Arabidopsis thaliana: one gene and its partner. The protein of the gene in region 2 interacts with the protein of the main gene of each other region in a pairwise test. Each region holds a gene or a part of one and is shown on either strand. Other genes may lie near its edges.

Region 1 (6,346 bases), on a different chromosome or scaffold from region 2:
CACTAGAATCATCATCATCATCACTCACATCCTCTGAGAGTAACTTGATAAACTACAATAAACCAAAAGTAACATCCAATAAAGAAGAGCTCCTCAACATTCACAACGAAATTTCAAAATACGGAGAGAAATTAATCATACCGCACCGATGTGATCCTTAGCCTGAGTAGAAGCAGCTATCTCTTCAAGGCCATGCCAAGCTGATGAATCAATCTGAAGACATCTGAAAGCAAATTACAGAGACAGCTCAAAATGTATACATTACACACACAGAGACGCATATGAACATGACTATTCCAGATGATTTCAAGATCACCTGAGAACAGGACGGAGGAGGCCGGAAACTTCGTGGACCCAGAGATCCGCCTCATCGGAGATAGGATCACTGTCGCTGCTGATTGGCTCTCCGGTACTTCCGGTGGCCGGGATTCCCAATGGCTTTGACTGGCTGATCTGCGCTTGGTTAAGCGCGATTGCAAACAAAGCGCTTGCCGCGTATCTCTGCGACGGCGTCAAATTTGACGTAGCTTCCACCATCAACTCAGATCAACAAAAACGAAATCGAAGAAACAACAAAAAGTTTCCAAATCCAGAAACGATCAATAGAGTTCGTCTCATTTTCCAAAAACAAGTAGAATAAACTGGAGCCTACACTTGTCATGATATAAATAGATTTGAAACATTCAAAACAAAAAGAATGAAACGTTACACTATCATTATCATATATATAGAATAATAAGATGATATGATCCCTACAAATGTTTTGATTACATCCATGGACAACAATTTCTTCCCATTTTTATACTTGTTCCTAAGTACAAACAATGTAAAAAAAAAAGATACAGAAGTTGGGTATGTCTGTGCAAATCTTAACACAGGACAACGTTACAAAACCTAAATACTGAAGAAAACAATGGGTGCAGTCAAAAATACCGCGAAGAAACATCTTCTACATATGCACCACTCGTTTTTTTTCATTTTTGCTGATGATTCTGCCATTTATTTATGTTCTGTAATAATCCTGCAAAAAAAAAGAGAAGAAAGAGGGCATAGTCCACCATCGATCAGACGAATCTAGGACATTGGATGATCTATGGTAACCTGTGCCCCAGGTTATGATTTCTCTCTATGTGAACCCGAGCCCACGACTAAAAATGCACGGTGCTGTTAGATCGTGAATGCATTTGAAGATCGTTTGTGGAGCTCATGGAGTCACCTTTGCTTACATCTAGTGCTGGGCTATGTCCTTCTGCGGGACTGAAGCTATCGTTTATTGAGTGCCGGATTAATAATTCTTCAGGACCACGGAATGTCGAAGTTGGAGAAGGAAGACGTTTTTGGGACTCCATGGCTTCCACTTCTGCCAAAAGATCTGAGACTGATTCGTCGCATTCGTCAGGTCCAGCCACAATGGGTTGCCAATCAGTGGTAGTAGATGCAAAGTTGAATTTGAAAGTTGGACTAAAGAGATCTAAAAAGTCTATTTCTTGATTGTCTGGGAAAGACGTCAAACCCGAGTTCGAATCCCACACATTTGAAGCACTGCTTGGAGTTGCAGCATTCCAGTTCTGTCCACATGACTGGACTGTAGCCGTGACTTGTTTCTCAGCTGAGCCGCTAAGACTACCGTTTTGATTGCAAGCAGTCGTTGCTGCACTGTTTCCATCTGTCTGACCAGCACTCCATCTTTCATGTGGTGGCAGAGAGCAGTTTGAGTTTCTAGGTAATGTAGCCAGCGAGAGTGAACAGCTTATTGGGCTTTGTACAAGCAAAGAACTTTCAACTTTTCTTTTGTCCCAGAGAGAGATAAAACCCACAGTATCCCTTTCATTAGAAAGAGAAAAATCCAATGGCACGGCGTGGCTACAATTGTTTCCGCTTTTGTTACTCACATCCGAGCTCCTTGTGATGACACTGTTACTGCTAGAAATAACACTCTGGTCAGTGCACACTGAGTTGGGGCTGAAGTCAAGTATTCTACTCTCTATTTTAGGAACAGCCACAGACCTGTTTTGATCGTTAGCTATAGTAGCTGTCACTTCCTGCTTGGGGATAGAATGATTCTGTAATAACCCTGTTTTATGGAACTGCCCATTTAATGCGTCAGTCAAAAGTATGGAGCTGTGTTGCTGTTCACCCAACCTCCATATTCTCAGCTCTGGTGGGAAATGCCCGCTTGAATTCCATTGTCGCAGGTTATATAACGAAAATGGTCCATGAATCTTCCCATCTGGATCTCCATATAACCATACCATATTTGTATCCAAACCATCAATTGGCTTATTGGACAGAGTGGCACTTGTGTCAGGTTTTACAACTGCATGGTTTCTGCTATCAGAACTGGAAGGTCTAACTTGAATACTGTGCCCGTTCAATTGCTGTGATTCCCCTTCTTGATGCTGTTCAGATGTATTTAACCTATCACAGCTTCTGCCCGCATTAACCTGGTAAGACATAGTTTCAGTGACTCCTCCGGCTGAATTATCTGTGACTGGAGACCTAACTTGATCGATGAAGTGAGAATCAAGAAGCTTTAACATTTCCAAGTTGTCCACTCGCTCCTTTCCAAACAATCTCATAAGCTTGGAGTCACACATTATTTCAGAATTCTGAGGAGAGTTTTGTAGATTATTCCGTCTCACATACTCTAGCACGAGAGTTTGGACATCATACTTTGATAAGACAGAAATATCACCGTTTTTCATATACCCCACAAAGTCCAAAAGCTCATTGGTTGCCCAAGTAGCAGCACTAGTCAATTGTGGAAGTCTGTCACCCAAAGAACAGTTTGAATCCAAAGAAGGACCCAAATTACTCACAGAAACAGCATCCATTTTCCTTACTTTAGCACGACGTATTTTCATAACCCCAGGAGAATTTCCATCATCCTTTTCATGAACCCGACTAGTAGTTCTTCGCTTAGCGGCAGTAGAAGAAGAAGATTTCCATGGATTTTTTGCTTTGGTAAGATCATCTAACGATAAACCTAGCTTTTCTTTAAGAGAAACCCAGTAAATCTTAAAAAGATACTCCCAGCTGCCTTGATCATCAAAATCAACCTGAACCTAGAAAATGTACATGTAATACATTTAGCTAGAAGAAAGAATCCACATTAAAAAAACAAAGCGACATTACAAGAACAGACCTCAAGTTCCACAAATAACCTTGTAGTACTGCGAGTAAGAGAAAGTAACAAAATGTAGACAGGATTCTCATACCTTTTCTTTGTTAGCTTCAGCTGCATTCTCAATAAGCATTATAGTCTTCATACAAATTCCACAGAATCCTTTGTTCTCCCTTACAACTACATACTCTGAGCTTCTAACACACCTCTTACAAACTGAATACGGACAAGTATAACACATGTAGAACGAATCCTTTTGACAAGTAGTACATATGTGCCAACCTGAAACCAAAAAACCATCCTCATCACTATGAACCATCTCAAAGAAGAGAAAACAGATAAAAATTGAACAACTTACCACAATTCCATTTAGATCTCGATCTGAAGAATGCTTCAGTACGCTTAACACAAGCTGGGTGATAAGCCTTTGGACATCCCCTGACAAATTAAGAAAGAATCATCATCAGTCACAAGTAAAAGTTTCTATTTTTACAAGTAGGAATGTAATGGAGCTGGGAGAGTAACTTGTCTAAGCTCAAAACTTCACTAACCTACGATCGCAGAGAACAAGACTACCACCATCGAAGCAAACAAAGCAAACATCTTCATCTTCTCTTCTCTTCCTCGAAATCGGAGGCGAAGAAGCTTTAGCTAAAATTCTCGGCGGACGACCACGTCTACCTCTCTTCTTCAAAGAATCGGAATCTTCTTCGTCTAACTTCACATCCGAATCTAACGGAACACCACCACCATCGAAGAATCCCGGAGGAGAAGAAGAAGAATCATCTAATTTAACATCGGAAACACAATGATCGACTCTCATAAGATCGATTTCCGGCATCGATTCGTTGTTGGCTCCTCGTGAAGCCAAAGAACACTTTTTTTTTGCTTCTCAGCTCAACAAAAAGACAAGAACGAGGAAGCGGAAGATCTGAGGTTTTAAAAAAAGAAGGGAAGGTGAAGCAATCGTGGAAACCCTAACCCTAGGGTTTGGAGGAGAATTGGGAATTGGAGAAGGGAGGGAGGAGGAGGTGGAGGAGATGGTGGCGTGTAAGGAGAGAAGACACAGTGGGCACATGGAAAATGGACTTACTCGTTACTCGCCAAAAGCAAGAGAGAGAGAGATGTGACAAGGCAGTGTTTGGTTGTCTGTCTCCTTTTTTTGACTTTCTAGAGAGAGAAAGAAACAACACGCTTTTTTTTTGTTGTCTAAACGCCGCGCATATGGCTGGTTCCACGTGGGCAAAGTTGAGGCTGGTGGGAGCCACTCGCGTCTTTTCCCATAAAATAAACTATTATTATTTTTAATTTTTATTATTTTTTTAACAGAGAATCTTGTTACCACTAAAAATATATATAGGTGACTAAGCTACAAGATGCAAAAAAATCACGAGGCATTAGAAAAAATTGATCTCTGAGTTAGAGGAGTATTTTCAAATTTATATTTTAAGTAATTTAAGATTCATAATGATTTATTAATTTTTAATATGATTTTAGGTAAATTTAGAGAAATTTATGATTTGTTGTAGTCTGGTTCCCCAAATTCTACATAAAAGAATTACATTTGTGTTTTTTAATTTTATCTAAAATTTTTTTCTAAAATTCTATAAGAAATTATTCAATTATATATTTTATAAAAAAAAACTTCAATTTTTCAAATATCTTAATCCTGTCTTTCTACATTGTCGTAAAAATTAGATAAACTATGGTTAAAATTAAAACACAAAATTTTACAAAATCTCTCATAATCAACTTCGACATCATACAAACATCAGAGAATTTCGCTATAATAAATTAGAATTCGTCAATTTAGGTTTTTTACTTTGACAATTTTAGAGTTTAGGTTTGATGATTTATAATTTTATTGAAGAACATCATGTTATTTTTGTTTACAATTTGTGTTGTATAAGTTTATATATCTTTTTCAATATAAATATAGTTTGTCCAATTTCATGATAATTTTTAAAAAGGGAAATTTGTATTAACATATTTGAAATTGAGGAATTTTTTCACTATACACCCTTAAAAACTAATGATATGAATATTTTCAATAATAGTGGAATTAAAATTATTATTCAAATTATTAGTTCAATAATATTTGATTTTAGAAGATTCTTAAAATATAATTGATTGACATAAAAATTTGTTATCGTAATATATATTATTTTAAATATTATTATTTTTGTATATTTATAAAAAAATTCCACAGCTCGAATTAAACTCTTAACCCCACCATTTGTTTATTTTTATTTGCGTCGATTTAGTGGGGGAGGCTTCGTGTCTTAGTCTAACACGGACTGTTATATTAATGTAATTTATTAGATATTATTTTTTGTTAAATAATAAAGTGGACCAAAGCGAAAATGAAATTGAACTACTTTTTTTTTTTCTTATGTGCAAGATGTCGTGGTCGTAGTTTCTTGCTTTGGTCTTCTACTCGCTACCTAACCATATATCTTATCTTTAATTCTCATTTCGAGATCTTCTTTCTCTTAAAAGAAAAAAAAAATCAGCTATTAATTAGTTGACAAACTTTTATATAAAATAAACGAAGTGGACATAACGATTCAAGACTCAATACTTTATTAAAGTTGCAATGATTTCTAGCAGGATAATGTTTTATAACTAAGATTAACTGATTTTTTAGAGTTTTGTTTCATTTTTTTTTTTATAACAATAATCTTTTCCAATAGTACAAAACGACACTTGCAAAACATGAGTGTTAAAGAAACACTATGAAGTGATAGAAGATAGACCTAATAATATTAATGCGTTCTGGTCTCTAGTCTCTAGTAAGCTTTTATAGGACAAATCCATGGTAAAAGGTCAAGATTTATACGTACAACCGACTAATCTTATAGTTGATATGTCGATCGACGACGAAAAAAGATGAACATGTCACGTTTAAATATTATATGTAGTGAGCTGAAATCAAATTATAGTACATAAAACAATGAAAAATCGATTGGTATATAATATATAATTCGTGATCACATACAAACATATTATCAAACTGAAGTAATCCATTGATCATAGGTCGATGTGACATGAGCTATCTCACTAGATTGTCATTGTTAAACGTATTTATCAATATACAATATATAGGATCACACATGCAGTTTTACGTGAACAAAACAGCTTTGACTTCGAATGATAGAGATCAGAGGATTTTATCAAAATAAAATATTTAACAAAACAATACCGGCAATTTTTAATTTTAAC
Region 2 (4,439 bases):
GCCAAACCTCACACTCACACAACACTCAACTAGATAACTTTAGGTTAATTAACTCTTCTAAAGCCAGAAACTCATACATACGTAAGATTAGAGCTTTTTTCTTCCACTATTTATGATTAGGTGAGCTGTCTTAAATCGTGCCCTCGATAATTGGATTTCAGATTCATAAAAGGGTACTTCTCGAACTAAAAATCGGAATATATGTGACCAATTTATTATTAATAAATAAATAGTTTACCAAATTTTTTGTTATAAATAAATTCGAAATTTAGGGATCGGGCATAGACATTTTCTTTTAAGCTTTACGGTCATCCACTTGAATTATAGATAGAACTAGTCAATTCGGATATGCTAAACTTTTTCTTATAACTTTTTTTCTTCTGGAAAAGGGACTTTTAAAAAATAAAATTATGTTTTTTTGTCATCAGAATATTATTTAACCACGCATCACCAACAATTGATTTAAGTATTGGTCTAATTAGGCTGTCTTTATTAGAACATAATCCAATTTGAAGATCATGAATTCGTTGGACAGCATCTTTGTACTTAACCATTAACTAACAATAATTAAATCAAAAGTATATTAGGGAGATCTCAACCACTCAATCGTATCTTTATTGCTTTAACATTCGACTGCCATCCTCGCTAATTTTTATATAATTAAGATGTATTTAAGCCATAATTTTACATAAATCTAAGAAAAATTATTCAACGGCAAAATATATATGACCGAAGTTATGCGATACTGTTTATGTGCTTCAGTGCTTCAGTGCTTCTGGTTGAGGCCGAAGAGGCAAAAGAAACCTAGAGTTATATATACGTCACTATAAAATATAGATGAATATTTGAATGTACTTTCTTCTTCTTCTTAACCCAAAAAAACGTTTTCAGTATTCCTTTCCATATATTTCAGTAATGTCATGTAATTTCATTTATGAACAAAATATGGCATGATTAGAAAACTTGAAAACCGTGAGTCAAATCAAATTATGTGCATGCCATATTATCTACTAATATATATGCGGGTTAATCAAATGAAAGTTTCTTTTGATCAGTGTTTGTTCCTAGCTATAGGTCAATGTCGTACGAATTTAGTCAGTAAAACTCACAAGATATCTACTAATGTTGAATGGCAGCTGCTCCATTATTTAACCTGCATTACCATGCTCCTCTCATAAAATATCTTCATTGGTAAGTCTCAGAGAAGTGTATGTATGCTATGTTCAAAATATCTATCAACTATGGTTCATGCATATGAAGTATAAAAAGACACCGATGAGACTCTAGTCTTTATCATCGATTGATGAATATATATATTCAAAAATGTATAAAGAAATCAGGCGCATCACTATATTTTTGTTTTGTTGGTGATCAAAAGATTCTCCTATATAAAGAAGCATGCATGAAAGTTTAGAATTTGCTAATTCAATCTAATCAACCAGATCATTTTTACAAAAAAAAAAAAAAAAATCACTCCAAGTAGTGAAGGACCAAAAGAACACACCCTTACGGACACTAAAACAAAGAGATTGGGACAAAAGCATCATTCAATGAACATATTCTTATGACAAATGTTAGTTTTTTCAGTGCCTAGTCGTGGAAAGTACTAACTGCTCAATTAGCTTCTGCTGCAACCAAGCTAAGTCGAAGCAATCAAAGCTATTTACCTGTGGATATATCATATATATGGATACATAAGAATAAGCATATTTACACAATAGATAAGCTTACACTAAAAAACTCTACAATAACTCCAAATATGTAACCGTACCTCGACTTGTATAGTGTACATGAGCCTCTCGTTGACTCGTGCTGTTAAAGAGCTGATGACTTCAAGTCCTTGCCCGTGAAGAACTTCAAGAACTCTTGAGAGTGGCCAAGCCTCGAGACCTGATGCTAAGCTGCTCACAACCACCTCGAAGCCGCTCACACACGGTTGCACCATGACACTAGCTGGTTCCGATCTACTTGATCCAGATCCGGATCCGGATCCAGTTAGACTAGTAGGGTCACCAATCTCTCGCTTTAGCTCGTCTCTTCTTGCGGAGAGATCTTTTATCCTTGTTTGCGTGTCTTTGATGAAACTTACTGCTCCGTTTACATGATCTGACATGGCTCTCTTTCCCTGCGAAGAAAGAGCCTGAGAAAACTAAAACCCTAGAGAACAAAAATCTCCCATCAATGAACTTGATAGGAAGATTGGGACTTCAATGAGACTATTGGAGTAAAATATATGTACCTTGATGTATTTTAGAGGTAGCTGACTACGAAGAGAGGCGAAAAGGATCGCCATTTCTTGTCTTCTTTGTCGTTCGATGTTGCGGTGGAGAAGCTTCTTCTCCTTCTTCGTTTCATCTCTTTCTTGAGGCATATGACTCTGGTGCCTTGTCTTTTTAGGATTGTTAGAAGGATTCATGGGTTGAGGTTTAGAAATGGTAGATCTCAGCAGTAATCGTTTTTTTTTCTCTCTTGTTTTTTCCAATGAACTAGTTAGGTTTATAGGAGAGACTGCCCTTACATAATTGGGTCTGTCTTCTTTAATCTTGGAAGAAAGAAAAAAACAAAGAAGACTTACTAAATAATGCAGCCTCGGGAGAGGTGTTGTTTTCATCTTTAGTCAAATAGTTTGGTTTGCTGTAATGTTTCACAAGCTCTTTTACACGTGACAGAACTTTATGCTTTGTATGTATATAACTAGCGAGTGTGTGCAAATCATTTCTCTGGCTTTTTAATGTTGGGAGTGTCTTGTAGAAGATTTTCTGACGCGCTTTATAATTTCAGATATCCAAGAAATATGAATGGTAAAATCTTGATTAGTCTAAAACGGATCCCAATATGATCTTGATCGATATAAATCTTGATATATTTATATGGATCAAGATCTGGAATTTACATTCCAATTTTCTTTTATATGATGTGTTTCATATATAAAAAAATACATAGAACATTTTAATTAACTTTAGAAAATATATAATATTACTAGTAAGATCAATGTGAATATCTATACATTTTATCACATTTGGATTTATTTATTTTTGCTTGAACATTATGATCTATCATGCAAATTGTTTTCAGTTTTCTTCCAAATTTTTGCATGTGATTTGAAGATGACTAATGAAGCATTTTTTTCTTATGGTACACTGGTATCTGCTTCGAGATAGAACAAAAAAATCAAATGATATTTGATCAAAATATCTGGATTTGTCAATTGTGATAATGGATGAATAGTCATGAGTCGACTAATCGGTAGAATTCTCCATAGAAACTTTCAAGGAGATAAAGAGGTTGCTCAAATTAGAAAGTTTGTCGTTGAATTATGTGTGATTTGTTTGACAAAAACACAAAACAACGAAATGATTATGTGTGGTTTCTATTAGTTTTGGCCCAATAAAACTTTATGGTGGCAACAAAGAACATTCGGCAAATAAGAACGTGTACATGTACTCAAATAATATAATCTCATGCAAGAGAAGAGATTATTTATCAATATGTTTGTGAAGATGTTCGCAGTATCAATGAACACACAAATGTTGTCAGTATTATAACCGAACTTTCTAACGCAGTCTAAGCATGAAAATCATATTGTTATAGTATACATTAGAATTGCGGAAAATTACGTACATATCCCATAACAGTTAAATGAAAAAAAAAAGAGAACAAGAATACAAACATCATTTAAAAATATTGGGAATTCACTCTCATTCACTTGGACAGAGAAAATATCTTATCAGTTTCTTTTGTTGTTTTGGCAATTTCGATTGTCATCGGGTAAAACTTCTAGAAACTAACCTCACGATATTTTTCAATCAAAATATGATAAAGATAAATAGTAAAACCAAGGGAGACACATTTAATAATGGGGATAAGCTAAGTGGATAGGATGAGTGAAGTGGAGTGGACATAGTTAAAAGATAGGCCTAGGACAGCTCATGCAACTTCAAGACAAGGTGGAAGAGGAGACAAGAAAGATCCTGGTTATTAATAGATGGAAACCAGCTGTTTCATTTGTCCTAAAATATCCCAGCCTCATTAGCATCTCATGGATCCCACTCTCCCAAATTATTTCGAGCATGCATTATGCCACATGTGAGTTTATGTAGTTATTCATTATAACCTCAAGTTTGATTTTTGTTCTGTGTGTAAGCCGTGTTCAGTTACAAACCAACCACTTATAATAATCTAACAGTATTTTCTAATCAAATTGTTAGAAAGGTAAACAGTAGAACTGCCGTCAAGGAAGACGAATTTGATGTAGTAAGGGACTACTTTTTTTTTTTTTTTTTTTTTTTTAGTATGGGACTACTTAAAGTCTTAAAACAATAGTTTTGATCGGAAACAGAAAATCTAGTCGATTCGTTTTTGGGAGATTTACTCGATAAATCTTTGATTTTGATGATCCTAGTGATAGTTTCTAATAGGTTGAGAGAAAAGAAAATAAT

The links.
Region 1: the proteins of AT5G51790 (region 2) and AT2G18090 interact in a two-hybrid assay, tested with the Arabidopsis thaliana proteins (one large-scale study listed by BioGRID).

The regions. Positions count from the first base shown.
Region 1 is NC_003071.7:7,862,120-7,868,465, reverse strand, and holds AT2G18090 (PHD finger family protein / SWIB complex BAF60b domain-containing protein / GYF domain-containing protein), read right to left. Parts: upstream 4,273-6,346; 5' UTR 3,966-4,272; coding exon 3,676-3,965; intron 3,563-3,675; coding exon 3,483-3,562; intron 3,407-3,482; coding exon 3,219-3,406; intron 3,066-3,218; coding exon 1,149-3,065; 3' UTR 646-1,148; downstream 1-645. Other genes in the region: AT2G18100 (transmembrane/coiled-coil protein (DUF726)), read right to left, coding at 1-52, 142-223, 317-537.
Region 2 is NC_003076.8:21,037,739-21,042,177, reverse strand, and holds AT5G51790 (basic helix-loop-helix (bHLH) DNA-binding superfamily protein), read right to left. Parts: upstream 2,646-4,439; 5' UTR 2,612-2,645; coding exon 2,240-2,611; intron 2,126-2,239; coding exon 1,772-2,125; coding exon of another isoform or gene 1,733-1,771; exon of another isoform or gene 1,668-1,732; coding exon 1,584-1,667; 3' UTR 560-1,583; downstream 1-559.